Drosophila melanogaster: one gene and its partner. Each later gene encodes a partner of the first gene's protein in a complex. Each region holds a gene or a part of one and is shown on either strand. Other genes may lie near its edges. The genes, in order: trp and Cam. A codon is read from its position in the direction of its gene.

Region 1 (15,796 bases):
CTCATCGAACTAAACATTAGCCAATTACCAAAATAGTTAGCATCTATTTAAAGTTTAACTTTTAATGCAGACATGTATAAAAAACTTGTGTGATCTAATACTTTCACAATGAATTACAAAACCTAATTTCTAATTAGCTGGGAGCACACACATTGAGCACACCTAAAAGCACATACACACATAAATGTCAAATGTCGAACATTGGCCCGCTAAACCATCGCTGGCATCCGCCCTAGAGCTCTAGAGCTGGCTGTTGGCCAGGTGGTTGTCGATGACCCGCTGGATGATCATCAAGCAGTGGCGCTGCCTGGCCACCGTGTTGTCGATCAGCTGTTCCGTGAACTGACTGGCCGCAATGTTCGTGTTGGGCGGTATATCCTGCGTGCAGGATATGTACCTGTTGAAGATCTCCGTGTTCAGCGACGTGGCCAGATACCGCTCGCTCTCGTCCTGCTGCTGCAGCTTGTCCAGCTCCTGGGCGGCCAGCAACAGCTGATCCTTGGCCTTCTGATATGATTGCAGCTCCTGCAGGCTGGCATACTCGGCGCTGCTCAGTTTCACGGACCTGCCGCCGTCTTTCGTCATCTGGCGAATGTGGTACTTGCGCTCGGCCACAAAATTACCGAGCAAGTATCCTGCGAAACCACGACACACAAGAGTGACTCATTAGGCGCTGTCCTGTGAATGCACTCACCTGTTATCAGCATGAAGAAGCCAATCGTTAGCACCAGGGAGGCACAGGTGCGCTTGGAAACGTACTCGCGGAACTCCCGAGAGCTGTTGGCCCGCACCGCCGTCTCGTAGCTGAGTACCTGGTGCATCCTGATGACCTGGTCCCCTTGGGGATTATAATCTGTGGGGCCTGCTTGGCCTAGTCACGTCGAGACACTCGGATGTGTCCTTCAGAACTGGGTGGGAACATGGTGCTATCGGTGGTATCTAGTGCCTAAAGCATGGAATTTGTAATTAAACATTAGAAACTGTATCTGTGAGTTACAGCTGTAAGTTTCTTAATTACTTCGATATGTTCAAGGATTTAAGAGCGCGGAACTTGGAATGATATAACACCTCTTGGTATGTCATGTCAGGATTTAATGTTCTCCTTTCACATTTTTAGTTTGAGCACTAAAACCGCAGTGTCAATGCCCCGAGTTCCTGTTCTGGCGATGCCGCTGATACGGAGGAGCGTGACTTAATCGCCCCACCTTAAAAGGCAATCGCGAAGCCCGTTGTTATGGGCATCGCACACGGCAAACAGCGCGGTCCTTTAAACGCTTCGTCGAACACTTTTCACTCACTCGCTTTATAGGATATCGTCGGCTTGGCTCGACTCTTGTGCTGCCAGGATGGGGTACATATGCATTAAATTAATTAATGACTGCACTTTTGTGTTGCACTGCCCGAAGGAAGTGGGCTACAAGTGTGGGAATGTCCTTTGCGAAGGGAGCGCGCTCAACTTTTAATTGTATTATTTATGCTTTATTTACTCGTCGCGTTCGCTCGGATCCTTGCGCGTTATCCTTGCGAGCGGTCTGAATGCCCGGACGCCCAGTCGGGAACTGACTCACGCTTCGTTGGGGGTCGGCTTTAATAGCTCTCCGTTCTCCGTTTTCCGTTCCGTGTGGTGAGTTTCCTGCCCCGATATGTTGCACATTTCAGCGTGGCACTACGTCGGCGGAAGGACGGTCAAGGGGAAGCTCGGAGAATGCAAACAAAGGCATTCCCAGTAGCTTCCTAATGAGGAATGGGTCCGCCATTTCGCCCACTCCGCCCGAGGCGTTCCTCAGAAACTATATCGGATTTCAAGCCATCGCCTCACTTTGAGTGATACTGCTGCTCCGTAGTTCCGAAAGTGGACCTCCCTTTTGATTGCCATAATCGTATTTTCTTTTCTGCTTCACTATTCCCTGCAATACTTCAAGGATATCACATGACCCTCGATTGCCATTTCTGTTCCTTGGGGTTCTTTGAAGTCCCCCCCATGACACCTTGCTTGCACATTTTCACTTGTTGTGCTGTGACATATATTACTGGGAATTTATGCATAAACTCAACCATTGCATACAATTTGAATATATATTTTGAGGTACGATTATAAACTTTTGCTTTTCTGAACTTGAAGTACATAATCCCATAACGCACTCTATTACTAAGTTAATCCATTGGGTGGCATAAATTAAAATAATTTATTGCACGATAAGCTTGTACACTTCTATATGTGCATCGATAGTGACTTCATTGGTCTATATAAAAGTGTGAGACCAACAGGAGATTTTAGTATACAAAATGAAGGCTTGCGTACCCATATTGGCAGCCCTTTTTGGATCAGGGAGCAGACTGGCATTTACTATTAACCATGGTTAATAATTCTTTATGATTTAATAAAATTAAATGAATTAAATTGCTTGAACTTGTATCCACTCAGAATTGATTGAAGCACTCAAAACACTCTTATTCCCTTTGCTAACACTTCATTCATACTGCCAAACACTCGTCTTGAGTATCTGCTAGTATAAATCAAACTTTTTCGTTGATAAAAGTGCTGCGAGATAAGATTTCGCACTTTGAATTAGCATCGATAGTGATTATGGCTAAGCTATATAGTATTGGGACCACCATGGGAGCCTTTTAGTCTTTCAATATGAGGGGTCTTACACTCTTGTCGCTCGCCTTCCTTGGGGTCTGTAGTGCCCTAACTGTGCCCCATTCGCTGGTCCATCCACGCGATCTGGAGATTCGTCATGGAGGGATTGAGGGTCGTATTACCAACGGAAACCTGGCGTCCGAGGGTCAGGTTCCCTACATCGTGGGTGTGAGCTTGAACAGCAACGGAAACTGGTGGTGGTGCGGCGGATCCATAATCGGACACACTTGGGTGCTCACTGCTGCCCACTGTACCGCTGGGTGAGTTATTTGATTTCACAAATAATTAACGCTCTTTGATAAATCATCGTATTGCAGTGCTGATGAGGCTTCACTGTACTATGGTGCCGTCAACTACAACGAACCTGCCTTCCGCCACACAGTGAGCAGCGAGAACTTCATCAGATATCCCCACTACGTTGGACTCGATCATGATTTGGCCCTGATCAAGACTCCCCATGTGGACTTCTACAGCCTGGTCAACAAAATAGAGCTTCCCAGCCTGGATGACCGATACAACTCTTACGAAAACAATTGGGTTCAGGCCGCCGGATGGGGTGCCATTTACGATGGCAGCAATGTGGTGGAGGATCTGCGAGTGGTGGATCTGAAAGTGATCTCCGTGGCGGAGTGCCAGGCTTACTACGGAACTGATACCGCCTCCGAGAACACCATCTGTGTGGAAACTCCGGACGGAAAGGCCACCTGCCAGGGTGATTCTGGTGGTCCTCTGGTCACAAAGGAGGGTGATAAGCTTATCGGAATCACTTCCTTCGTCTCCGCTTACGGATGCCAGGTTGGAGGACCGGCTGGCTTCACTAGGGTCACCAAGTACCTGGAATGGATAAAGGAGGAGACTGGAATCTATTATTAAAAAAAAACTTTACTAATTTCAAAGCAAAAAGGTGCTTAAACAAGTTTTAAATAAATGAAGAACATATGCTGTTATATTTTGTGTATTATTAATTTCTTGGAAGATAGTGGCATATTCATGTTTAGAGATAAAATTACCAATAATACATAATCAATACATTACATATTACATAATACATACCATTTAATACATTACCTATGTAATATTAACCTATTAGTGTTTTATTTTTTGATAATCTAAAAATCAACTTGTTGAGAACAAAAACTGTACAATGTGCCGTATGAGTAATATTTTATCACACTTTTTTTTGAAATTGGTAGTAAATACTTTCAATAAACATTATTCAGAATTTAAATTTCTTAAAGATCATAAAATACTTTACTCCTCATTTGGGTAATCTGAGTATATAATATATTTTAGGTGAAGTGAATGTCCTTACATGATACTATCATACTGAAGAGTAAGTTGCAAATAAGGCACATGTCATTCCACTTCAAATTTAGGCCATAATTTACAAAAAAAAAAAATCACCTGTAGTGGACTTATCAGTCGACGATGGCTCGCGATGATAACTTGATTAAAATTTACTGCCCTCCCATTTTACATACGTGTGGAAGGAAGGGCTCTTGGTCGAGATAAGACTACGGACCACTTCTGTATATAAAGGCGCTTCGACATCGGAACACCATTGAGTTGCAAGACTTGACCAAGATGAAACTGTTCGTATTCCTGGCCTTGGCCGTGGCCGCAGCTACTGCTGTGCCCGCTCCCGCCCAGAAGCTGACCCCGACGCCCATCAAGGACATTCAGGGTCGCATCACCAACGGCTACCCAGCCTACGAGGGCAAGGTGCCCTACATCGTGGGTCTGCTCTTCAGCGGCAACGGAAACTGGTGGTGCGGTGGCTCGATCATCGGCAACACCTGGGTCCTGACCGCCGCCCACTGCACCAACGGAGCCAGTGGAGTGACCATCAACTACGGAGCCAGCATCCGCACCCAGCCCCAGTACACCCACTGGGTGGGCAGTGGCGACATCATCCAGCACCACCACTACAACAGCGGCAACCTGCACAACGACATCTCCCTGATCCGTACCCCGCACGTCGACTTCTGGAGCCTGGTCAACAAGGTTGAGCTGCCCAGCTACAACGACCGCTACCAGGACTACGCCGGATGGTGGGCCGTGGCCTCCGGATGGGGCGGCACCTACGATGGCAGCCCACTGCCCGACTGGCTCCAGTCCGTCGATGTCCAGATCATTTCCCAAAGTGATTGCAGCCGCACCTGGTCTCTCCACGACAACATGATCTGCATCAACACTGACGGAGGCAAGTCCACCTGCGGAGGCGACTCTGGTGGCCCCCTGGTTACACACGACGGCAACCGCCTGGTCGGAGTGACCTCCTTCGGATCCGCCGCTGGCTGCCAGTCTGGTGCTCCCGCCGTCTTCAGCCGCGTCACCGGATACCTGGACTGGATCCGCGACAACACCGGCATCTCCTACTAAGCAGTTGATGTTCAATAAACGATTATAGCAAAAATGAAAAATTCGACCAAACTATTTATTCAGTTGTAGATTGAGGGGCACATTATTGAGAGCTAAATATTTATATATTCTATTATGTACATTAAATGTACATATATTATAAAACTAAAAGTAATCTCATATTTTCCTTAAATGTTTTTAAAACGAGATTGTTTAACTTATTTTTATATCCTATTTTTATATTCTATCCATATGATAGCTGTTGAACGCTAGTAGCGACTATAGGGTATTCCTATATTTAAAACTGTTTAAGCTAGGAAAGTCCACTTGCAGCTATTTATAATAACATAAATTTATATTATGTTTATGCACTTTAATTATGTTGCAAATATAACAAGTCCAATATTCTACATACACCATTTTCAATCCAGTTTGCTTTTTATATACATAATATACATAATAATTATAAACAATACATAATAATAATACATAATAATAAGACGTATGATCCATATATATATATTTGCATATAGTCCGATGGTTCGTCATTATGTGTTCCTAAAGCTTGATTTTTTCCGATACATAAATCGGAAATCGGAATAAGTTTATTTCCGTTTGCAGTTTAATATATTTCCCTTCACTTGGAAATATTTTATTGATTTCATTACTTAAGCAAGAAGACATCTGAATCCCATCCCAAAAACAGAACTTGAGTTGCTTGCTATAATCGTTTATTGAAGAAACCCCTCAGAATTAAGGAACATCAACTGCTTAGTAGGAGATGCCGGTGTTGTCGCGGATCCAGTCCAGGTATCCGGTGACGCGGCTGAAGACGGCGGGAGCACCAGACTGGCAGCCAGCGGCGGATCCGAAGGAAGTCACTCCGACCAGGCGGTTGCCGTCGTGTGTAACCAGGGGGCCACCAGAGTCGCCTCCGCAGGTGGACTTGCCTCCGTCAGTGTTGATGCAGATCATGTTGTCGTGGAGAGACCAGGTGCGGCTGCAATCACTTTGGGAAATGATCTGGACATCGACGGACTGGAGCCAGTCGGGCAGTGGGCTGCCATCGTAGGTGCCGCCCCATCCGGAGGCCACGGCCCACCATCCGGCGTAGTCCTGGTAGCGGTCGTTGTAGCTGGGCAGCTCAACCTTGTTGACCAGGCTCCAGAAGTCGACGTGCGGGGTACGGATCAGGGAGATGTCGTTGTGCAGGTTGCCGCTGTTGTAGTGGTGGTGCTGGATGATGTCGCCACTGCCCACCCAGTGGGTGTACTGGGGCTGGGTGCGGATGCTGGCTCCGTAGTTGATGGTCACTCCACTGGCTCCGTTGGTGCAGTGAGCGGCGGTCAGGACCCAGGTGTTGCCGATGATCGAGCCACCGCACCACCAGTTTCCGTTGCCGCTGAAGAGCAGACCCACGATGTAAGGCACCTTGCCCTCGTAGGCTGGGTAGCCGTTGGTGATGCGACCCTGAATGTCCTTGATGGGCGTCGGGGTCAGCTTCTGGGCGGGAGCGGGCACAGCAGTAGCTGCGGCCACGGCCAAGGCCAGGAATACGAACAGTTTCATCTTGGTCAAGTCTTGCAACTCAATGGTGTTCCGATGTCGAAGCGCCTTTATATACAGAAGAAGTCCCTTGTCTTATCTTGACCAAGTGTCAAACTACCCATATGTTGAGCTGGAGGGCAGTAAATTAATGTCATCCAGATTACATAGGAGCAAAAAGACAAAAAATAAACAACGCAGAGGCTTGTACAGCAATATAAAAAACGTAAACTTATCAGTGTTCAATGATTTGCGAATCAGTTAAAAATACAATAAATTTAATGTTAAATACTACTCATCGGATGCAATTCATAAAATCATTTTCTACGTGGGTACATTCAATTTGTTTAAACACATAAGTATCTTATCGGTGCCATAAAGCAAATCAGCATTGATACTATAGATTTTTACGATCATGTTGAGGGCTTAGAGATATAATTTTAATACAGATGGCCATAAAATGAATTTTATCCCGCAATCTTGACGGTTTCCGGTGGGGAGACAGTGAAAGTGCAACCTGCTACGCAAACCCAGGGAAAATGAGCTCTTTCGCTTTTCTCGTGGAGAACTGAGCACATAACTCACAAGGGTCCTTAAAAGCTAAATAAGGCAGGAGTTTTGTTGGAGGCCAATGAATCATTGAGTGCAACCCAGTTGTACACTGCAGAAAATCATGTATAAACCCAACATAGCATTTAGTTAATGGGAACTTATAAGAAGAATGTGCATTTAGCCACATTTGTGTAATGAGGAGTACCTTTATATAATTACGAGAATGCCATCCAGGTATTTTCAGCTATGGCCTCTAATTAATTCGCACTTAATGAGTTCCCCTCGACAGCTGTGACTTTAATTTTGAAATTCCTTGGGCCACCATCACTTCCTTCCTCTTCTCTTGGAAGCCATGCGAGTGGAGTGTGGAGTGCATTGGCCCCGCTAAAAACCCCGTACGACTTGAACACGTACGATGCCATTCCGCCCGGAGCTCCATTGAACCCCACCTTTCGAACACACACATTCATCTCAAAGGGCTGCTCCGTGAAAGTGGGCTTGTTCCTTTTCCTTTTCTCCGCCTTTAGCCAGGAGCTGGCATTTAGTTCCAAGTGCATTGACACACAAAAGCCCTGCGAGCGCCCTGAAGTAAGCAACATTCAACATTCAAGGCTCAAGACGCTCGGCTGCCAAGGACGAGTTGGGTCTTAGATGTACACCACCCCACCTCCCCCTCCCACTTCCCATGCAGATTAATCAATATTCATCAATCACAAAGTCAGAATCACTGACCCAGTGCCCAAAAGGCATTCGAAATCATTTCAATTCGGTAGATACTCGACTGTAAACTGCAGGTGTGGTGTGTTTTCCGGCTCTGTTGGTTAGCCAAAAGCTTAAAAGCTTGCATTTTCTCCTATTTTTAAGGGCTTTTCTCGGTGAATAGTTCTAGGATATGAACCCAAGTCCATGAATCCCTATTTACTCGCAAATTAACACCCTCATGCTACTTTTTGAATATTAAGTAGCTTTGAATTTCGGCTTGAATAGGTGTCAAAAAGTATGCAAAGTGCGTATTTTTTTTTTGGGCATTGATCTATATTGCTGGGTACAAAATATTAGACACCTATTTAATTTCATATCTCAACTGTATGCATCATTTCATCGAAATATAAGCAGATAATATTGTTCCATTTAGCACGTTTTGTTTTTCACTTACATATAAACCCACTGGGCAGTATTGATTTGGATTTTCAGGCATAAAAGTGGTGCGATTCCGTTGCTGGGGCTTCGAAAATCGAAAGTCGCTCATCACGTGCAATGCAACCACAAATGGACGAAAGATTCCTGAACTGAAATCGCTAAAATCGGTTGCTGCCTCCAAATGCAGCCCCACAATTACCGAAGTGCGGTCAAATGGGCCCATTGACTCGGGGTTCGCCCACACATTGACCGAGTTTTAGCCACATTGGGCACTAATGTAATTAGTGGAATATAGCGACCCGTGGCTGCCACTTTTCAGCAGTGCAACGCGGCTAATTGGAGGCGGAACATCGCCACGATGGAACACTAAAGGATACAGTGCGCGAAAGGATTACGCCAAGGCTCCCCGAGGAGCAGGGATAAATGCCCATAGTGTTTGTGAGATGTGAAGTGACCGAGTGATCCGATCCTGATAATCGCGTTCGCATAGACCAGTAAATCAGTGCAGATATGGGCAGCAATACGGAATCCGATGCCGAGAAGGCGTTGGGGTCTCGCCTGGATTACGACCTGATGATGGCCGAGGAGTACATCCTCAGCGATGTGGAGAAGAATTTCATATTGTCCTGCGAGCGGGGTGACTTGCCAGGTGTCAAGAAGTGAGGCTTCCTCCCTATGGCTTCGAGTAACTCGGCTAATATGATTTCGTCCTTGAAGGATCCTCGAGGAGTACCAGGGCACGGACAAGTTCAACATTAACTGCACGGATCCCATGAACCGCTCCGCCCTCATTTCGGCCATCGAGAACGAGAACTTCGACCTGATGGTGATCCTGCTGGAGCATAACATCGAGGTGGGCGACGCCCTGTTGCACGCCATCTCGGAGGAGTATGTGGAGGCGGTGGAGGAGCTGCTGCAGTGGGAGGAGACCAACCACAAGGAGGGCCAGCCATACGTAGGTCACATCCTGCCGCAGAATATGCCACAACTCTTACTCTTTTCCCCTCCTTTGGCAGAGCTGGGAGGCGGTGGACCGCTCCAAGTCCACCTTCACCGTGGACATCACGCCCCTTATCCTGGCCGCCCACCGAAATAACTACGAGATACTCAAAATCCTCCTGGATCGCGGGGCCACGCTGCCCATGCCGCACGACGTCAAGTGAGTGGGGTGGTGTAGGGATGCAGTTGCTCGGTGATATGGCTATGTAGTGAGCTTCCTCGTCCTTCGAGCGGCACGTTCCATTGTTTGTCCAATTGGCAACACACTTATGTAGCACATCGCTGGGTGCCTCTAATTTTAGATAATTGCGGGCAAATTAGGGTGAAATATTAATACAGGGTGTAATGTTGTGTGTGGGAAGAGCAGGTCCTTGAATGTTCTTAAATTGGGTCAATGGACTCAAGCCTTTAACAGCGTCATAAATGTCCTTGCTAGGAGAGAAGGTCCTTTGTACTCCTTTCAGATTGATTTAAATGTATTTATTATTATAGAACTCTTGGGTTCCGTACACTTTGTATATCATCGCTTAATCTCAATTGTTTCTAGGTGCGGCTGCGATGAGTGTGTGACCTCCCAGATGACGGACTCCCTGCGCCACTCGCAGTCGAGGATCAACGCATACCGCGCCCTGTCCGCCAGCTCGCTGATAGCGCTCAGCTCCCGGGACCCTGTACTGACCGCCTTCCAATTGTCCTGGGAACTCAAGCGCCTGCAGGCGATGGAATCGGAGTTTCGTGCCGAATACACGGTACGGTAGTAGTGTGCAATGTAAGCGGTGGCCAGTGTGCCACTAGAGTCTATGCGAATGCGAATGCGAGCCTTTGTTTGTGTTTGCCCAACAGGAGATGCGTCAGATGGTGCAGGACTTCGGGACCTCGCTCCTGGATCACGCACGCACATCCATGGAACTCGAGGTGATGCTCAACTTCAACCACGAGCCGTCCCACGACATCTGGTGCCTTGGCCAGCGGCAAACCCTGGAACGACTGAAGCTGGCCATTCGCTATAAGCAAAAAACGGTGGGTTCGGACTAATCCGTGCACATTAAGGAACTGTGAAGGTTACAAGCTTGTGGCTAGATACCCATGCCTAATCCACCACAGACCAACTGGGATTTAATAGCTTTATATATAGAAACGGATCTTAGTACCCTGCTTGAATTTATAAACATTACTCCCCCTTCTAGTTTGTGGCACATCCAAATGTCCAACAATTGTTGGCCGCCATTTGGTACGACGGACTGCCGGGCTTCCGGCGCAAGCAGGCCTCCCAGCAGCTGATGGATGTCGTGAAGCTGGGATGCAGCTTCCCCATCTACAGCTTGAAGTACATCCTGGCCCCGGATTCCGAGGGTGCCAAGTTCATGCGCAAGCCCTTTGTCAAGTTCATCACGCACTCCTGCTCCTACATGTTCTTCCTGAGTGGGTAAAGTGGGTGCTTAACACTTCATCCATCTAAATATGCGCCCATTCACAGTGCTCCTGGGTGCTGCCTCCCTGAGGGTGGTGCAAATCACCTTTGAACTCCTCGCATTTCCCTGGATGCTGACCATGCTGGAGGATTGGCGCAAACACGAGAGAGGTTCACTACCGGGTCCCATTGAACTGGCAATCATTACCTACATAATGGCTCTAATATTTGAGGAACTGAAATCTTTATATTCGGACGGCTTGTTTGAGTACATCATGGATCTTTGGAACATAGTGGACTACATATCGAACATGTTCTATGTGACGTGGATTCTTTGTAGGGCCACCGCTTGGGTAATCGTCCATGTGAGTCCATATGAATCTAATGAATAAATTGGAGTTACTGAAACGAATTGATTTCAGCGTGATCTCTGGTTCCGGGGCATAGATCCTTACTTCCCAAGGGAACACTGGCATCCGTTTGATCCAATGCTTCTATCAGAGGGCGCCTTTGCTGCCGGAATGGTCTTCTCCTATCTAAAGCTCGTCCACATCTTCTCCATTAATCCCCACCTGGGACCCTTGCAAGTTTCACTGGGTCGCATGATAATCGACATCATCAAGTTCTTCTTCATCTACACACTGGTGTTGTTTGCCTTCGGATGTGGTCTCAACCAGTTGCTATGGTACTACGCTGAGCTGGAGAAGAACAAGTGCTATCACCTGCATCCCGATGTGGCTGACTTTGATGACCAGGAGAAGGCTTGTACCATCTGGCGAAGATTTTCCAAGTATATTACATTCATTTCTATGTACTTTATCATATTGGCATCCCATTTCAATTTACTTTAGCTTATTCGAAACATCACAATCGCTCTTTTGGGCCTCTTTTGGCCTGGTGGACCTGGTCTCCTTCGATCTGGCGGGAATCAAGAGCTTCACCCGCTTCTGGGCACTGCTAATGTTCGGCTCCTATTCGGTTATCAACATCATTGTGCTTCTCAACATGCTGATTGCCATGATGTCCAACTCCTACCAAATCATCTCGGAGCGAGCCGACACTGAGTGGAAGTTCGCCCGATCCCAGCTGTGGATGAGCTACTTCGAGGATGGCGGCACCATTCCACCGCCCTTCAACCTCTGTCCCAACATGAAGATGTTGAGGAAGACCCTGGGCCGAAAGCGACCGTCACGAACCAAGAGCTTCATGGTAAGTTACACTCAGAGAAATTCAATATTTCAGTTTAAGTATTATACAAATCCACACATATATATTAAATTCAGTGTACTCTACTTTTAAATGATATTTCTTATCATATTACTTTTAAATGTAAGTAACATTTCGAAAGTTCGATTTTTTCAAGTTGAATCACCTCACAGTGAGAGGCGGCTCACAATCAATACAAATCTTAAGCGAAATCATTTTCAATCAAGCCCATGCAGAGCTATCTGTGCGTCAAATTGACGTCTAATACATCCTTTCTGTGTCCTTCCACCCTCTAATGCTCCCTGTTCCAACTCCCAGCGAAAGTCCATGGAACGGGCACAGACGCTGCATGACAAAGTGATGAAGCTGCTGGTCAGGAGGTACATTACGGCGGAGCAGAGGCGGCGGGACGATTACGGCATTACCGAGGATGATATCATTGAGGTGCGCCAGGACATCAGCTCCTTGCGGTTCGAGTTGCTGGAGATTTTCACCAACAATAACTGGGATGTACCCGACATTGAGAAGAAGTCGCAGGGTAAGGGAAGCCTACCCACATCCAAATTGGCAACTTACACGTGTCTTAAGATAGAAGTAGCAGTATATATGAATAATTATTTACAATTAGCTTTTGAATACCTAATAAAGTTCACCCCATCTTGAATATTAATTTGAAATATGTTGTGCTAGAAGACTACAAAGCTAGAATGGATTTTAATGGATTTTATTCACTAAACTTACTTTTGAAGGAGTTGCTCGAACCACCAAGGGCAAGGTGATGGAACGTCGCATCCTTAAGGACTTCCAAATCGGCTTCGTCGAGAATCTGAAGCAGGAAATGAGCGAATCTGAGAGCGGACGAGATATATTCTCATCGCTGGCCAAGGTCATCGGCAGAAAGAAGACCCAGAAGGGGTAGGTCCACTTAAATCTGTAAGACGCTTTGAATAATGGTTATTATTCTCAACAGAGACAAGGATTGGAACGCCATTGCGAGGAAGAATACTTTCGCCTCCGATCCCATTGGCTCCAAGCGCTCCTCCATGCAACGTCATAGCCAGCGAAGCTTGAGGAGGAAGATCATCGAGCAGGCGAATGAGGGTCTTCAGATGAACCAGACCCAGTTGATTGGTAAATTAATAAAGATGTGCCCAATGTATGTATATTTCCATACCCTTGATCTCCTCCAGAATTCAATCCCAACTTGGGTGATGTGACGCGTGCCACAAGAGTGGCTTATGTCAAGTTCATGCGGAAGAAGATGGCTGCCGACGAGGTTTCCTTGGCCGATGACGAGGGTGCTCCAAATGGCGAAGGCGAAAAGAAGCCACTGGATGCCTCTGGGGTACGTTCCAATCAATATATGTATATGTATTCCCTGGCTAATATATAATCTCACTTGCAGTCTAAAAAGTCCATAACTAGTGGTGGAACTGGAGGAGGAGCTTCTATGTTGGCTGCAGCTGCTCTAAGAGCATCGGTTAAGAATGTGGATGAAAAATCCGGAGCCGATGGCAAGCCCGGCACGATGGGCAAGCCAACGGATGACAAGAAAGCAGGTGATGATAAGGATAAGCAGCAGCCTCCCAAGGACTCCAAGCCGTCAGCAGGTGGTCCCAAGCCCGGGGATCAGAAGCCAACTCCGGGTGCGGGAGCTCCAAAGCCCCAAGCAGCTGGCACTATCAGCAAGCCCGGTGAGTCACAAAAGAAGGACGCTCCGGCACCACCAACCAAACCTGGAGACACCAAGCCTGCTGCGCCGAAGCCTGGAGAATCCGCCAAGCCCGAGGCCGCTGCCAAAAAGGAGGAGTCTTCCAAGACCGAAGCTAGCAAGCCGGCAGCCACAAATGGAGCAGCCAAGAGCGCAGCTCCCTCCGCTCCTTCGGATGCCAAGCCGGATTCCAAACTGAAACCTGGAGCAGCTGGAGCACCAGAAGCAACTAAGGCAACCAATGGGGCCTCCAAGCCGGACGAAAAGAAGAGCGGTCCGGAGGAGCCAAAAAAGGCTGCAGGAGACTCCAAGCCAGGAGACGATGCCAAGGACAAGGATAAGAAACCCGGCGACGATAAGGACAAGAAACCTGGCGACGACAAAGACAAGAAACCTGCTGACAATAATGATAAGAAGCCAGCCGATGACAAGGACAAGAAGCCGGGAGACGATAAGGACAAGAAGCCGGGTGACGACAAGGACAAGAAGCCGAGCGATGATAAGGACAAGAAGCCTGCCGATGACAAGGACAAGAAGCCAGCAGCAGCTCCTCTGAAGCCGGCGATCAAGGTGGGTCAGAGCAGTGCCGCAGCTGGCGGAGAACGAGGCAAATCCACGGTCACAGGACGCATGATCTCCGGCTGGCTCTAAGCCGCGGAATCCACTTTCATAGCAATTAAATAGTTAAGTCCTTTGTTTGTGTGAATAATAAAAAAAAAGAATCTCAAGTACCACGTTTCTGCAACTTGTTGCTAAAGGCCACCTGTTGCCAGCAACATCTCATTTGCATCGCAGCAACATTCATCATCCGCCCCGTTGTTCCGATGGCAATTTGTTTGTCTGCCATCCATCCGCCTGCTTTTCTGGCCTATAAAAGAACGTGAACTTCGACCAGAGGAATCAGAAGAACCGTGACCGTTCCGAGGATAACATCAGACCGAAAAACATATTCGCCAAGCCAGTGTTTCGTCCTAAATAGTCTTGCAAATATGAAATCTATGTTGGTCCACATAGTTCTAGTGATTTTCATAATCGCCGAATTCAGTACAGCTGGTGAGTGGTGGAAACATTACAAAATCGCTTTTAAGGAAATCTTAAACAACAAACTAGTCTATCTCGACTAAGTGCTGCTGCTATCTTTTGTTAACTTTAAAGTGAAAATAGTTAAATGCTTTTTAATAATGTTCAATAATATTTTGCAGCACCTTTAAAAGAAAGAGGTAATGGTAAAAAGACCTTTCCAATTTTTCATTAAAATGTTCTACTTAGAAAAGTTGTTTATTATTATTTTATTAACTTTTTTTTTAACACTTAAAGCACTTCTTGAAGAGGCATGCAATTTAAGTCGTACACAGTGTCTTTTTATATCAAGCTCTTTAAATCAAAAAGGTGATTTCAAATCTAACCGCTGAAATAATAAAAGCCACTTAAGAAGAGTTAAATATCAAAGAAATAGTTGTGGCACTCTAAATCTATAATTCAAATTTAAAAAAGGTTTTAATCACAAAAAGCCTTAATAAAAATATTCAAGTCACTTGAGTTACTTTGGCGGTTAGGCTACGAAAATAGCTTATTCCACGGAGACTTAAGAACAATAAGATGAGAACATTTGAATAAATTGCAATCCCCAAACACTCCATTCAGAGACGGACCACGACAAGAACCGACGAGGTGCCAACATGGGGCTCTATGCCTTCCCGCGCGTTGGTCGCAGCGATCCCAGTCTGGCCAACAGTCTGCGCGACGGATTAGAGGCCGGAGTCCTCGACGGCATTTACGGAGATGCCTCCCAGGAGGATTACAATGGTAAGTCGTTGCGGCCGGATACGGTTGACTAATTGGTCCTAACGCCCCGGGGACGCATGTGCCATTCCAGAGGCTGATTTCCAAAAGAAAGCCAGTGGTCTGGTGGCCTTCCCACGCGTTGGCCGCGGTGACGCCGAGCTGAGGAAGTGGGCCCACCTTCTGGCTCTGCAACAGGTGCTGGACAAGCGCACGGGACCCAGCGCCTCCTCGGGATTGTGGTTCGGTCCCCGGCTGGGAAAGCGCAGTGTGGACGCCAAGTCGTTTGCGGACATCTCCAAGGGACAGAAGGAACTCAACTAGACACACTGACTCCCCCTTTTGACACTCTGAATGTCGTAGATACTTTTGTATATCAAAGAGAACGCTTCTAATTGAATATTGTAACGGGTATACAGCAAATATGTTTTTCGGTCAAATATAT
Region 2 (15,391 bases), on another chromosome or scaffold:
CATTTCGGTTGAAACACTCTCTTTTCTATATCTATTATCTCTTTATATCCGGCTGCTTCATCGCAGATGCAGCTCAAAAAAAAGCAGCCAAGTGGAATGAAAATTTGTAAAAGAATTTGGCCAAATACATTTTCTTTAGGTTATCATCCCCGTAAGTGAAACGCAAATGAAGTGGTCCAACCGAAATTCTTGTTATATTAATTGAAAAAGTTTCCTTCGTTCGTTTTAAGTTGAGAGAATAGTTCTGGTTTTTTTTTTGGGGCCGCAGCAGCGCCATAAAGGCAGCAGCAACAACTTTTGGCCTTAATTGTTATTGACTGACTTTTTCGAGCCATTCCCAGCAGAAAGAAGAAGAAGCGTCTTTTGTCCATAAAATGAAAGTGTATAAAATGCTTTTCAGTTTTCTGTTTTTGCTACCCTCAAAACCAAATGGAGCGTGGTTCATTGTGGGCCATCATTTTGTTTCTTGTGAACTGAATGTGTTTTTTATTACTTTGCTGGAAATGGGTTTTCTCCAGAGGAAACTTTTCGTATATGATTGCCAAACAAAAAAAAAAAAAAAAGCAAAGTCAGAGGTTCACAAGCCCTTTTGAACTTCAATAGCAAATGATCTCCTCCTTGGGGCAATCTAGATTTACTGACAAAGAGTTTGGCCAAATAAAATGGAATGAACTGAATGTAGCTACACAAATAGCCCGTTAAACATATAATGGAAACAAAAATAAATAGTTTGAATCTTCAAGTATTTGGTTTATAAAAAAGTAAACAGTAATTCGCCGAATTAATTGATTTAAAATAAATAAATACTTCTCGAGCACACGAATTCAAATGAATTGAAAAAATCTGGAGGCAATTCCCATTTCAAAATAATGTGTGCATTGAATTCGAAAATTTGACGAAAGAAAAAACATTACACTTTGGGCTAATTTAGATATTATAATTATTCAAATATGGCCGCATTGAGTAGCAAAAATATATTTTGAAAATAGCCAAAGGAACATCAAATACAATATCGACCGGTGGCTTTAGTTCATTTCGATTTCGGTATTGGTTTTTTCTTCACTTTTATTTTTTTTCTTTTTCTGTTGCTTGTTGTCTTGCCTGCGTTTTTGTGTTTATGATTCTATTTAAAACATTTGACGCGATTTTCTGTTGCTTTTGGCTTTGTCGATAGGATTTCCCCAGCCAAAAAAATAGAAAATCAGAAAACAAATACCAAGGAAAGCCTCCGCACACACACACATATATAGACATACACAGCCATTGGCAAATTTGTTGCCATTTTTGTTAGACGCTTCTTAGACTGGCCCGAAACGCCTTTGACGAACCCGCGCGCAGCCCAATTACCATAATTATGATGCTCATCGCGCTGCCAATGGCGATAATGATGACGACGACGATGAGATGATGATGATGATGGCCAGTGTCTGGCGCGGATTTCGGTTTCCATTACGCCGTTCCGCCCATTCCCTCTCTCCTCCTCCTTTCCCTGCTCATCAACACTCCCACTTGCCGATTCGCAACGTTGAGCGCAAAATTTTGCAGACAATTTAAAATTGTAATAAGTTTTGTCTTTTTTTTTTGGTTGGCGCACACAGTGTGTGCAAGGCAAAGGCATCGGCTAAATTTAGTTTGCGCGCATTTTCCATTGGTCTCATCAAAAATAGTCGACTTTTATTCAGATCGACATTATAAGCAAACCATAAAAAAAGATTATTCCGCTAAAAGCGTAACTGCGACTTTTTGGCAAGCGCAATTTAAAGAAAACCACCTTTGGAGTTCACCTATGATGGCCATATAATATAATTATACTTCTATAACGCTATTTTTATTCCGCTGGACAATCCTTCCTACCTGCCCACCAATCCCACCGCCAACTAATTGCACTCGTTTGCATGCAGTTCACAGACCAAAAAAAAAAAAAATAAAAGGCAGCCAGGCAGTTTTGGCCATCGTCAACTGGCTGCGACGAGACGCCAGCGAAATTTTAAGTAATGAATGTTTAATGTTTCCGTCAGATTCCTGACTGCCTGCCTGGCTGGCTGTTGTGACCAGCGTGAGTGGGCCATGTGAGTGGGTGATTCGGATGGCCACAAAATACATTCCATTGTGTGGGATCGTAAATTAGAGGAGTCAGCTGGGAGCAGGCGGCAGTGGGTGGTGGGCAGTGGGAAGTGCCACTTTCGAGTTGCAACAATTTTCGCAAGTAATTTTAAATATTAAACGTTGCACAATAAAGTTGGCAAAAACATTTTGCTTGCACTCAATGTAAAAAGTTTGGCACATATGCAAATTCCAGCAAAATAAAGTTGGCGAAAAATGCTGGACTCCCAAGTGGCGACCCCTTGCCACCCACCCACATACCGAACTACTATTTTTAGTCCTGATAAACAGTTAGTATGCGCATCGCCACCCCCTCGTTTGTCCAAACCCCACATCACCCACTTGTCCATGATTGCAACACTTTAGCTCCAGCAAAAAAAAAAAAAAAAAAGAGAAAAATCATGCAGGGGTTTTTCACAGCGCCTGCGCTCAAAATTCTGTGTGCAGGACTCCGAGTTTGCAGATTGTGTCCTGGATATTTTCGACAACATGCGCACAGAATTTCCACGTGCAAGCGCAACAGCAGCAGCAGCAGCAACAACAGGCAGCCGAGAAAAGCTGGCAAAGAAAATGGAGCAGCAGCGAGAAAACAAATACAAATTGGGCGGGGACACTTGCAAAACTTATGAAAGAACAAGTGATGATGAGCATAAAAGTTACTTTGTGCCAGCCACTGAGTTCTTATGATTTAGTTGCTAAGTATTATCCTTAGCAAAAGCAGCAAAGCACAAACCTGCTTACTTAATTGGAAAATCTATTTATTTGTGGCAAAAGGTGAAAAACCCCTTTACGATTCAAATTTTCGCATTTTGCCACATTTTTGGCGCGAGGCGTGTGTCGCTCGATTTCCTCTTGCATCGAAAATAAAATTGGATCTTCCTCGTTTCCCCAAGAAAGTTTGTTAAACTAAAACTTGTACGAGATTTCGAGCTAAGCGAACAACCACCTTTGCTCAAAAATAAACATTAAAAAAAAAAAATGAAATACCAACGAAAAAAAATCTGACAGCAGCGGCTGCCAAAGACAAGACACGGGAAAGAGCCAAAATATTTTAGTCATCTATTTTTAATGCCTATGACGTGTTTTTGTTGCATATTTTTAGCCAAGAAGTGATTTTCCTTTTCTTTTTTTTTTTCCACCCATTGTTTGTCGTACAAATGTTGGTCTGATCTATGTCTGTCTGCGAAAGAGGTAGTTGGGGAATGGAACGAGTGCGAGGGATTAGGCCCAGAACACCAAATAGATTGGGGTAAACAAAATTAGACATCTCGGGATCGGGTTAGAAGGGGTTCTAGCCAGCTCTCATATATAGCCAGCATAGCATAGAAAATCAGCTCATTTGCACATTGGTCGTAAGCTCTGACGAAGTCTGACTTCATAGTCTAGATGTTGTGGGTCACAGAAAATTAAGGCAAATTCACAATTTGTTTGAAATACTGAAGTTACGAGGCATACAAAACCAGATTATTTACGATTTTTGAACCCTTTAGCTAACATTTGCAGATTAGTATGCATTTTGCAATCTCTTTCGCGAATTCGTAAGTTTTAAATGCTCAGAGGGCATGAGAAATGTGAATCTGACTTGAAATTTATTACATCACCCCAATGAAGGATTTCAATCACGTACATTACCCCCACAAAAGGCTATCCCACTTTATAGAGTATTTCCCCCCACAATCCTCCACAACTTACCGTCGGCATCAACCTCGTTGATCATGTCCTGCAGCTCGGCCTCTGTGGGATTCTGGCCCAGGGAGCGCATAACTGTGCCCAACTCCTTTGTTGTGATGGTGCCATCGCCGTCTTTGTCGAATAGCGAGAATGCCTCTTTGAACTCGGCGATCTGTTCCTCTGTCAGCTGATCGGCCTGCAAAGGGACAAATGAATAGAGCATTAATTGAATGAAACGCAGCAAAAATGAATCGAACACACACCATTATGATAAACGTTGTGTAACTTTCGACTTTATATTCTTAACAAAATAAATTTTACTGATAGATATAGGACTAAACGTCGACCTGGTTTGTTTTGTGAATTACTTTTCAACGGCATCTCGATGGAATTTCAATGTCAACACAAAAAACTACCCAAGTGAACACAATCGGGAATAACAAAAGACGAGAAGGGAGAGAACAATTGTGTTTAATTTGAATAATTTTGCGTATTGTTTGCCCGCCCGTCGCCAGGCAAGTCCAGATACAATTGTATCTGTATCTAGGTATGTTTATAATATTTCTACATATATATATATATATCTGGTGTCTTGAAAAAGGTGTTAAGTTTCCGCTGAATCAACAAAACCTGACGTCAGCGGCGACTGAATAATCAAGAAAGACCCCGTAGGGGGGAAGCTCCAAAGAACCGAGGAGTGGAGATGGCTGCGTTACCCAAAACCAAAATTTATTATTGTCATGCGAATGATGCACATACATATATACATACATATATGTGACAAGAGACGTGCGAGTTGTCAGTTTCACAGGAGCCGGTCGGTCATTCTGGCCAAAAACGATTCTCAGGGTCTAATGTTGCAGCACCAAAAGCAAAAAAGCGGGCACATTAAATTCCCGTCTACCTATTACTGTTACTGTTATTGTTTTACGGCCGAAAATGATTGTTTATTTGTGCAACTCGCTCTACGGCGATAAGCCAAAGAATTTAACGAGTATAATATAAGGCCTGCGGTTTGAATTGCGATAATTGTTATTAATCATGAAGCAAAAATGCAAAAGCAAACTTCGCCTGCGTCATAGGATGACTTATACTATATATTTATATATATTTGTTCAAGCTGATAACTGCTGAAAGCTCTGCTATATGGAAACTATACTAAACTATATATATAGAGTTGTTTGTTGAGCGATCCTATGTAATAACAACTTAATTTGCTTCGTTTAATAATAGCTACTGCCAATCTAGTCTATACTTATTACTCTGAACTGTTGAAAACCAAGTTAATTTATGTGAATTTCCCTAGCACGAACCAATTCGCCCTATCTAATCAATCGCCTTGGTTACCACCGAATTGGGCACCTCAACTTGAAGGCCAAAAGATACCCCAAATCTGAAAAATGGCACAACAAACTTGGCTCTCAGACATGTCGTGTTGACCAGCCTTTATGGACAACTTCCGTTCGGCAAGGAAAATGGAACAGAACAGAAACCCACTCGCTTTAAGCCAAATCAGCAATTGGCATTGGAATTATAGCGCCCTGCTTGACCTTATCTAATCGGGGGAATTTCGGTGAGTTTAAACAGCGAATACAAGCAAATTTGGTAACGGCAACGCGTTGGTGGCACCTGTTTTATTTGCACTTTTTGTCGCGTTGGCGTTCAATTGAATTTGCCCAGCTTATCTTGGCGTACTCTGGGGCAGATAAAACGCTTTTCAACTGGGTTATGTCATTGGCAAGCATGACTAAGCCAGAAACAGAAACCGAATGAGAAACACCCATCGAAATGCAGATCCCCAATCTGTTGAAAAGCAAATTGAAGCCCTCCTGTCTTCAAATGGCGACATTTGCAATCAACAACATGAGCAAAACCCCACCCACCGATGATATCCATTAATGGCAGTCAATCGGGCGAGGTCGTTAATCGAGTGGGGGGCTGGCTAATGCCTAATTGGTAATCCATTTGTATGCACAATCAGACGCCCACGACGTCCCGAGGAAGCTTCCACATCCAAGGCAAATACAGTGCCTTCCGAAAATGTATGCCTGGGGGATCAGGACTCAAGCTGTGCGTATATTTATCGGGATTTGTCCGTCATTTTTTAAGGTAGTGACTCATTGGATGGGTCATTGTATAGTAGTTAGTTCAAGATCATCACTTTTCACTTGCAAATAATATGATATCAAATATTATTCATACTTATGAATACATTTTGATAACAATAATTTTAATACACTTGGGCTTGAATCATTTATAAATTCACAAACGAGTTCTGCTGAATAAAACTATTTCTTCCAATGAGTTTGACAGTTAAATACAACATTAAAACAGGTCTTGGCTGAAATTATGCGGCTTTATGTTAAAGCCAAGTTTGCCGGGTTTACCGTTGTATAGCCGACGCTTTTTTTTTTTTGCCGGTCTCAACCGGTTTCATGGAGTTTAGTTTGGTTTTATGAATGACGGTTAGATTGAGAGCTTGGTTTTTGGGTACAATTTAAGTGCATTCGCACCGGGATCCAAACAACTGTGCTAACTGAGCCATAAGCCAGTCATTTGCCATTATTAACATGACACACACACATATCATCGGGCATTCATCATAGGCCATATGATCATATGATGAAGTCAGCCCAGGAACACAGTGACTCATGGAAATTTATATGAATGTTGGCTCATTTTCAACGGAAACAAATAAGATATACAGACAAACGTATCTCATAATTAGCCGAGCTAAAGATCAACAAACTTTGAAGATCAGTCAGTAAAACCCTTGGCAAATGTTTGCTTCTGGGCCAAGTTAGCAGCGTTGGTTGAATCACTGAAACAAATTGGCCACGTAGAAAGCGATGCGATATATTTTAATTAAAAGCTGTTTGCATTCTGCGTGAGCTGTAAAATCGCTAATTAAATTAGGCGACACCAGATGAGGCTGAAAGAAGGTGTGGCGCGGGTGTGGGCATCGCAGTGGGCGTGGGGCTTTCTTATCAAAAAGCGCAGAGGAAAGCAAACGAACGAGAGAAGAAAGCGCAAAGAGGGCGGCAAGAAAATTGGATTATGTGGTTAAGCGGCGGCGTCTAGCAGGAATTTTTCTTCATTTGCAGCGCTCCTCCTCCCCCATCGTTCGCCTGTGCCGTTACAATAAAATTCTTGCGCGAAAAGGCAAAGTGGAACAGGCAGCCGCCAACACACACACCCATACGCTCACTCACACGCACACGAATACGAATACGCGGAGCCGAACGAATGAACGACCGAAGCGGACGAACCAAGGCGAAGGCGAAACAGCAAAATAACCGCAATGCGGCAAATGAAACGGTTATGGAAGAAAACAAGAAAAGGCAGGCGCCGATAAAAGTGACAAGCGCAAGGCGCAAAAAAAAATGAAATGCTGAAAGAAACGGAAAGAGAGAGACGCAGCACAAAACGGAACTGATAACGCAAACGAAATAATTGCACATAGAGAGAGACGAGAAAGTGTGTGAAACGGTTATGCGAGAGAGCGTCGAAACGGTTAAGCTGAGCGCAAGAGCAGGAGAAATGCCTCTAAAGAATTTTTTCACCATTTCCATGGGGCCGTGTCTAACCTCAATTTTTGCGGCCAAGTGTGCGGTAAATAAAAAATACAACCAGAAAGCAAAGAACAAGCGAACAACGAACGGCGGGGCAAAGAGGAGAGGCCAATAATGCCGGGACCGGCGACTTTGTTGTTCATCATCAATATATATTCACACATTTTCCACTGATAAGCAAAATGGAGGGCGCTTTTCTATTATTTGCGGGGATCTTTGAAAAATTGCTGATAAAAGTGCCGATGGCAACGCGTCTATGTAGGAATGCGAGTGTGTGTGTGCATAAATGCTCAACAAATTGGCTAAAATCACATTGATTTATGATCCCAAATGGTGGTGGTGGGTTGGGCAAGCAGGGGGGCTTCGAAAATGAGGTGTTGCTCGAGATGCTGATAAGAGTTTCCACTTTTCCACGCCTGATTGGGTTTCCAGGGGTATTTCTACCCGAACGTCATGGAATTATTATAGGGCGAACCCGATCGCGTCAACATTCCGTGTGCGACAGCCTTGATAAAATAAATAATAATTTTGACGAGTGACGTGACATGTGTGTAAATTCTTGCTATTGGCATTGCTATTTAATTGTGCTGCTTGTTTTCTGTGACCCTAGGGGCCAAAGTTGAACATTTGATTAAGTCAGGTTAAGAACATGAAAATCTTGCAGCTTAAATATACTAGTTTAAGTATAAACTTAATTTCAAATGATTGCATTCACTTTTTCTCAATGCAGTTTTATGGATTTTGATTATGTTTCATTGTGAAAGGGGTATAAACTACCATATTTTCAAGGGGTTGCATGGTGTTCGCAATTTCTTGTTTCTAAATCAACGATATTGGGTTGTTGAAAAAACTGGTTTTTTCTACCCGTGAGGCGATATATTTTTGGGGTGCAAAATGTAAACGAATTTCCCGGGGACAGCTGCTTTTCGACGGGGTGTTTGGTGTGCTGGGATGTGTGTAGCGAGTGTGTGTGTGTGAAAAGCCGTTAAAACCATATAAACAACGTCTAATTGGAAGCGATTCGCTCCTCCCGCTCGCACTAATGGCAATAGCCCTGGGGGTCGCTGTCTGACTTTGATTTTTCGCAAAAACTGTGGAAATTTCAATGGAAAATGATGGCCGCAGGTTGTGTAAACAGAAAATAAAGATGCACATGTTCTCCAGCCCCATAAACTTACCATTTTTGTAGGTGTTTTTTTTTTCTGTTTGTTGCTAGAGTGACGAAGTTTTAATCCGCTGCGGCTACTGCTGCTGCTTGGGTGTTGGTATGTGTGTGAGTGGAATTACGGAACGCGCGGTTAACTTTATATTTTACTAAATTAACACACTGCAAAAGAAGCAAGAAGAGGTTTGTTGGGTATTACTTTCGGGGGGTCAACTGGAGGTGGAAGAGGCTGAGGAGAAAAACTACTGCCAGCTTGGAGAGAAAGAAAAGCGTCCGTCCAAAGCACCGACGCCGACGCTTTTTTTTCTCGCCGTGGCAGTTTCTGAAATTTCTTTAGTGTTGTTGCTTCAGCCGAATTTAATACAAATTTTCGCCTTGCGTTTCTTCTTTATTTTTTTGTGGCTTTCATTCGTTTTTTTTTTCATCTATTGTGCGAAATATGCCAAACACACGCGCGCACACGGCAGAATTCTCGTTTATATAGTAGATATATGGCGGGGAGAGCTAATACATATAAGAGTTGCTCGAATTCGGTTTTTATAAAGATATTTGTTTAATTTTTTGCTCGTTGGTTTTCTTGATTTTTGGCTGGCGCTGAGAAATTGGCTTTTCCGCGAAACGTTCGCAGCTCCTGGTGCTTGGGTGTGGGCTCTTTTCGCTTTTTTTGTATTTTTTTTTTTTTTTTGTTGGCCCAATACTGCTCTCTATATGCAATGTCTGGTCTGTTTGTTCTGACAACTCACGATCCTAATCTGAATTTCCGTCCGCAACGGTCGACGACTCAAAACTTTGTGTTCAAAATAGCGCTGCGTCGCCATATATACGGTTTTATTTTGCCAGCAGCAATAGCAATAACCGCTCTCGCTCTCGCGAGAACGAACCGGGTAAGTTCGCTTTTGCAGCGGCAGCGTCTGCATGTGTTTGTTTCTGTTGCTTATCCACTCACCTTCGTAAAGCGAAAATAAGTTTGATTTCGCCGTTGTAACGGTCGCGCCGGCGCTTTTCGCGAAAATAGGTGTGTACAAAAATTGTATCAACATACTACAGGTAACTAAAGTTATAAATAATAGGAAGCTAGCTTCTGCAAAAATAAACTTATGCATAGGTTTGCCCTTGCAGTAATAGAAAAAAATGAATCAACTATGTATGTACTCACATATGTACATCTATATAAACAAATGTCTTTTTTATTGTCCGTTTATTCTAATTACCGGTTGTGATTTATGTTTATGTAAACAGTTCTTCGATTTTTAAGTTCAAATTTTAATTGACAAAAATATACTTCAAAATGTTGCAAATTTTATTCTTAACGGATAAATGTTAACGTAAATGTTAAACTAACATTCGATGTTAAAAAAAAACGAACTGTAAAGTCAGCTGTTGCAAACATATAGCATTTGCCATTGCATATGATGGGGAATTAACATACACACATACACATGTATATTATACAGCAGACAGAAATTACATACGTATACGTTATTAATAACAATGACGGTAAATTTTTCCATATATTTTTCGATTTTCGACTGAAATTGCTATACTTTTTCGAAGTGATCACCTAAAATAAATCTTCTATTTGCACACCATATTAAAAATAATTAAGAATTTTTGGACAACTTTAGATTTTGGATTTGTGAGTCCGATTAACTAACTTTCTTCGGGTGGATCTTCATTTACGACATCTTTCGACATCTGGCTGGATCTGCGCTGAGTTTCCTGGCTATTACGCGGAGGAGTATCGGACTTCCTTTCGGTCACATTACTGGCGGACTTCCTTTCCGGTCCGGAGGAGAGGAGCATCCGCTTGGTGCTGTACAGATCACCACTGCTGGCTCGCGGATCCCGCTGGCGACCAGCGAAACTCAACGAGGCTCCGTGGGTGGTGATGAAGGATGTGGGCGGTGGGGGCTCGCCCCGCTTGATGGCCTCCTTTCTCTCCTGCTCGCGGCGCTGCTTTAGGGACAGACGGGCCTCCCGCATGCGCCGCTTCACCTCACGCTCCTCGAACTGCTCCTGATCGAAGGGTGTGTCGGCCGCTGGAGGACGCGTCTGATTTATGTTTCGCTTTATGTAGGTCTCCAGCTCCTCGTCGGTCATGTTCTTGGTCTTGATCAGCTCGGTGAAGGCCATCTTGGCCTCCAGCTGCTTCGCCTGGGAGCGTTTCAGGCGATAGAAATCCTCGCGCTCGAACTCCTCCAACTCGCCGCATATATAGTTATAGGTATTTTGCAGGATGGGTATTACCTTGCGGATACAAAGTGATATTTATTGAAGATTATCCATGATAACATATGGATCATATGAATTAATTATAATTACCACATGCTCCAGAGCATTGACCCTCATGTTGGTCTGCAACGAGGCTGCCTCCAGCATTCGCACTTGGTATTCCAGAGAGGCGAACTCCACCAGTGCCTTGAGTGCCTTCGTATAGGAGTCCCTGATTCGGCTCACTTGCATACCGCCACAGCTGAGACCAGCCAGCGGAAAAGCGCCCACGCCCTTCGTCTCCAGCTCCAGGGTGTTCAGCTTGACGCCCACAATTTTGATCTCCGTGCGGCGTAGCGATACGGTTGCCACGTGGCTGCGGCTTACCATCTGCGGCTTGAAATCGGCGCCCAGAAGATTGGCCTTTGCCATCGAGAATATGGCATTGCGCATCGCCTCATCGCCGTGCATGTCCTGGTCGAAGCGGATGCGACGCAATTCGCGTAGCTTCATATCGATGGCGTCCCGCTTCCGCTTGAGGAGACCCACGCCCCTTCTAGCCGCCAAAACGCGCTGCTTCATGATCACCGAATTGGCGCGGGATGGAAAGATGGGCAGGATATCGCGTTTGGCCATGGCGGTGACTTTGGAATTGGACTCTGATCACGTAGAGTTTGAATTTGGCCGAATTGTAGACTTTGTTACAAACGAATTACTGATGTGAGTATAAAAACATATGTATATTTTTAAAACCACGCTTATAAGAGGTTTTCAAATGCTTATGGAATAAATATGAAAATTGTGGAAGAGTGCTATGAATTAGCTGGGATTTTATGACTCAATCGGCAAAAAGTCAACAAATTTACTCCCTTGAATTCTTTTCGAGCTTATCAAAACTTTCAATTTGTATAGTGAATGCAGTGGTGTATATTATAAATATTTTGTATGAATAAGAAATTTTAGTGCTTGCCAAAATAAGAATTAGAAATGAATAGTTATTTTAGGCTGTAATTATACTAATTAAACTATTTATCAATCAGTTAAATGAATTGTTAACCCTATAATTGAAAAAAAAAATACCAAACAAATTCCTGATCCGCCAAAATCATTTTAAATTACTCATACGCATAGTTGCCTATGGAAAATTACGCATACGCAACGTTGCCTTATCTATGCCTGATATTTAAAACAGCATTTTTATTTAGCTCTCGAAAATGATGTTTTAATTTACATTAGCTTAATCCCTAGAAAATGGAATCATTCACATATAATACATTTGTTATTTGTGCTAAAGATAATGTCCACAAATCGGCAAACCAGCGAATGCGTGTGTGTGTGCAATTACAATGCGGAACGTTTGACCATTCCACTGGGATTTCACATTGCCCATTGGACAGTTGGCCACTGGACACCATTGGACGGCGATTTTGCCCATTTTCCAGCTGCCGTACGATTTCCTTTGCCGCAGCGAATTGTCGCAATGTGGCGCCGCTTGGTGCAACGCAGCCTTGGCGCATTTGCAACGCATGCCAACAAGTTAAGTATGTTAACCTCTGGAAAATTAGACATGCCACAAGGGTTGGTGGTGCGGTGTGAGCTGGGCGTTGGGCGGTGGGTGGTGGGTGATGGTGTGGCAATAGCGATGGCTAGGTAACGAAAACGAGAATGAAAATGAAGTAACAATGCAGCAAACATCGGGCCAAAAGAGCGTTTGTAGTTGTCGTTGTCGTAGTCGTTGTCGCTTGGCGACGACAGCAATGCGCCATTTTTCGTTCGCCCCGCAAGACATGAAAATTTGGCTTTTCCCTCCATCGCTGTATGTGTGTGTGTGTGTGTGTGTGTGCGTGTTGGGTAAACATTCTGCCAGGCGTTTTCATTCTCTCTTGGATTTTCGCAATCGCAGGGAAGCCACACATTTCGCCCTCTGACCCCATAGAAAAAACCGCGTTGACAATGTCTTAGGCGAAATTTATCGCAGTTCAATAGAAAAATATTTAATAAAATTGGTTAGCCTTGCTGAATAAAGGAAATAATCATTTCTTTACTCTAGAATATATAAGAAATTCCAGAAAATTTCTGTGTGTTGTCAAGTGCCAAGTAAACACGATTTAATTGCGAGTAAACATTTGCCTTTTCTCTTATGGAAATATTAATTTGCATACATGGGTACTTATGCATGCTTAGTGATTTTCATGCCACAAAAGCTTGCAAACAACAAATGAGCTCAAGCAAACATAACTTTTTAGCATGTGACAGTTTTAAAAAATAATGAGAAAACAGGATACATATATACACGTTAGTAGTAGTAGAAGGTTGGAATATATTCGTATTTCTACATATAAATTGTACAATGTAGAAATATACAGAGATCCGGTTTGGGACACTACTTTCCCTTCTTGCCCTTGCCCTTTCCCTGGCGCTTCCTCTTGCGCTGATCCTTCTTCCACTTGCGCCAGTATTTTTGAATCTTGCCCGCCGCCCGGTTCATCATGAAGATGACCAGCTTCTCCTGCTGCACGCGACGTTCCTCCTCCTCTCGCTTGACCACGATGTTCTTGTAGATGCGCTCCTCCTGCCTGTACTGGACCATAAAATCGTCGAGGACCTTCTTGGCAGCCAGATACTGATCCTCCGCCACCAAATTCTCACGCATCTTTTCGCCCAGGCTGGTATCGTACTTCTTAAGCATACTCTGCAGTTGCAGGAGCAATTTGTTTCTATAAAGGATTGAGAGCACTTAAATAATAAATTACTCGATTTGTAGCTTACTTTTCGCTTCGCAGCTCGTGCTCTTCGGCCAGATGCTTCTTGGTCATCTTCTCGTAGCTCTCCCGGGCATTCTGCAGCTCCTCCTCCAATTCCTTCTGCCTGTCCATGCTGCTCTTGTGGTAGCTTCGCATCGTGCGATGGCACTTTTCACTGTAATTTGTAAATATATTCAAATAAGAATTTCTAGAACTAGAAATCCGAGTTACATTTCGTTCTGAATGGCCACGTTGTTCTGCCACTTCTTATTGGCCAGATCCTCCTCGACCTTCATCAGATAGATGCCCTTGGCGGCCGTCTTCCATTTGCCAATCACCTTCTGGAAGGCCAGGCTCGCCTTCAGTTCCTTGATTTTCTTCTTGATGTCCACATTCTGATGAAAGATGGCATGGAGCTTTCGCTCCTTGGTAATCTCGCTACGCGAGGATCGGTGCAGATGGACGTGGGCGCTCTCCAGGAGAAAGTGAAAGGCGGCCAGCAATTGGCGATCCCTTTCGTTTAGGTTCTTCTTCAAGTGCGGAAAGAATCGATGAATGCTATGGTTGACCAGGAAGAAGTCCACGATTCGCATGGTGGTGTGGTCATGTGGCAGCTTGGAACGTCCACTCTGCTTGCCAAGGTGGCGGATCATGTCATCGATGGGCTCGAGAACCTCCTCATAGCAGGTGTCCTTCAGGACGCTCTTCAACTTCTCGGGATTCTCCAGCAGCTTCGGTATGATCATCGCTATCTTGATGCGCTCCTGGGACATCTTGAGCACACGTTCCACTCCTTCCAGTCTCACCTGACGTTCGGCGGTGGTATCTGGAAGGAAAAAGGATATGACTGGTTTTGTCTTAAAACATTCATTTTATACTAACCCATTTTTACTTAGCAGCTTTACGGATCCTGGCGCATATATAAAATCCTCATTGAAAGATTTTCGTTTACACAGACATTAATAACTTTACAAAATTTCCTTTTTGCGATATAATTGTGTGCCGGGTTCTTTTAAAATGTATTAATTTAAACGACTCTCGGATACAACAGGAATTTTCTATTTATTATTAACGAAATCACGAAGTTAAAGCAGATAGGTGCAATTAATCTGCCGCAACCTGGAAAGTGAAGCTTTTTTTTCCATTAAATGTTCTTGAGCGTATTTCACTTGTTTGAATATTCTTAACTTCTATGCTTCTTTTGTTTTTTCTATAATTTATGTTTTTCCGATTTTCTGGCTATGCTTGTGTCGAGGTCTTTTTGAATTCTGAGCCGAGTTTGTTATTGTTTTTGGGGATAAACAAACATGGCTTGCTATGTTGACCGTGTTGCCTGGTTGCAAAGCCAAAGAATATATACCAAATAGAAACCCTTTCGATCAAGGAGCAACTGAAGAAGGGGGCGTGGCGAGGGGCGGTAAATTTGAATGGCACTTTCATGGCAATGACTGGTAGAAACTTTTGCCAAGTGCAGTAGTCGACAATGAAGAGTGTGGGGCGGTTTTCTAGGGGGCGGTGGGCGCTCGCCTTCGGTGGGTGGCTTGTTGCTTGTGTGTGGCCATGTCGCATTATGTCAACTGACGTGGCATGAATGAAAGCTGCTGCAGCAAAGCAAACGAGGGAAAATGCGCTGCAGAGGGGCTTGCTGGGAAAAAAGAAAACCATAAGAGCATGAAACGAACTTGTGAATGCAGAACAATGTTGGTGGGTGGGGTTGGTGGTGGTGGTGAAATGTTCCTCACTCAGGTGGAAAATCTACCTAATGAAACTGGCATGAAAGGGGGAGCCACAGAGTGAATGTAATCTGGGAGCCCTTCGCTGCAATCTGCCAAAAATCGGATTCACTAGTACAGTGGAGTCTCAGCACATCCTACCTAATTTAATTTTAAATAAATTTTAGTTACTTAGACGAAGTAATAATATAA

The links.
Region 2: the proteins of trp (region 1) and Cam are in contact, whole or in part, in a crystal structure (PDB 7CQV), measured with the Drosophila melanogaster proteins. Residues at the interface, in NP_476768.1 of Drosophila melanogaster: Gly804 (codon at 12,628), Lys805 (codon at 12,631), Met807 (codon at 12,637), Glu808 (codon at 12,640), Arg809 (codon at 12,643), Ile811 (codon at 12,649), Leu812 (codon at 12,652), Asp814 (codon at 12,658), Phe815 (codon at 12,661), Gln816 (codon at 12,664), Ile817 (codon at 12,667), Val820 (codon at 12,676), Glu821 (codon at 12,679), Lys824 (codon at 12,688); in NP_001246276.1 of Drosophila melanogaster: Glu12, Ala16, Leu19, Phe20, Lys22, Leu33, Val36, Met37, Ser39, Leu40, Gln42, Glu48, Asp51, Met52, Glu55, Val56, Ile64, Phe69, Met72, Met73, Lys76.

Annotation. Positions count from the first base shown.
Region 1 is NT_033777.3:29,913,020-29,928,815, reverse strand, and holds trp (transient receptor potential), read left to right. Parts: upstream 1-8,526; 5' UTR 8,527-8,752; coding exon 8,753-8,901; intron 8,902-8,959; coding exon 8,960-9,197; intron 9,198-9,258; coding exon 9,259-9,401; intron 9,402-9,788; coding exon 9,789-9,990; coding exon of another isoform or gene 9,991-9,999; exon of another isoform or gene 10,000-10,010; intron 10,011-10,084; coding exon 10,085-10,261; intron 10,262-10,428; coding exon 10,429-10,663; intron 10,664-10,718; coding exon 10,719-11,017; intron 11,018-11,074; coding exon 11,075-11,442; intron 11,443-11,503; coding exon 11,504-11,861; intron 11,862-12,176; coding exon 12,177-12,396; intron 12,397-12,607; coding exon 12,608-12,773; intron 12,774-12,828; coding exon 12,829-12,989; intron 12,990-13,048; coding exon 13,049-13,203; intron 13,204-13,263; coding exon 13,264-14,220; 3' UTR 14,221-14,295; downstream 14,296-15,796. Other genes in the region: alpha-Man-Ic (alpha-Mannosidase class I c), read left to right, coding at 1-13; CG15522 (uncharacterized protein), read right to left, coding at 241-635, 695-821; Jon99Ci (jonah 99Ci), read left to right, coding at 2,642-2,904, 2,962-3,517; Jon99Cii (jonah 99Cii), read left to right, coding at 4,229-5,026; Jon99Ciii (jonah 99Ciii), read right to left, coding at 5,777-6,574; Capa (capability), read left to right, coding at 14,559-14,622, 15,214-15,375, 15,446-15,675. UniProt on the Drosophila melanogaster protein: A light-sensitive calcium channel that is required for inositide-mediated Ca(2+) entry in the retina during phospholipase C (PLC)-mediated phototransduction.
Region 2 is NT_033778.4:12,253,322-12,268,712, reverse strand, and holds the start of Cam (calmodulin), read right to left. Parts: upstream 9,316-15,391; 5' UTR 9,255-9,315; intron 8,682-9,254; exon of another isoform or gene 8,674-8,681; 5' UTR 8,528-8,673; coding exon 8,525-8,527; intron 8,438-8,524; exon of another isoform or gene 7,900-8,437; intron 4,170-7,899; exon of another isoform or gene 4,041-4,169; coding exon of another isoform or gene 4,038-4,040; intron 3,971-4,037; coding exon 3,796-3,970; intron 1-3,795. Other genes in the region: Vha36-2 (vacuolar H[+] ATPase 36kD subunit 2), read right to left, coding at 10,162-10,758, 10,834-11,358; CG13168 (uncharacterized protein), read right to left, coding at 13,106-13,439, 13,492-13,641, 13,698-14,292, 14,349-14,352. UniProt on the Drosophila melanogaster protein: Calmodulin mediates the control of a large number of enzymes, ion channels and other proteins by Ca(2+). Among the enzymes to be stimulated by the calmodulin-Ca(2+) complex are a number of protein kinases and phosphatases.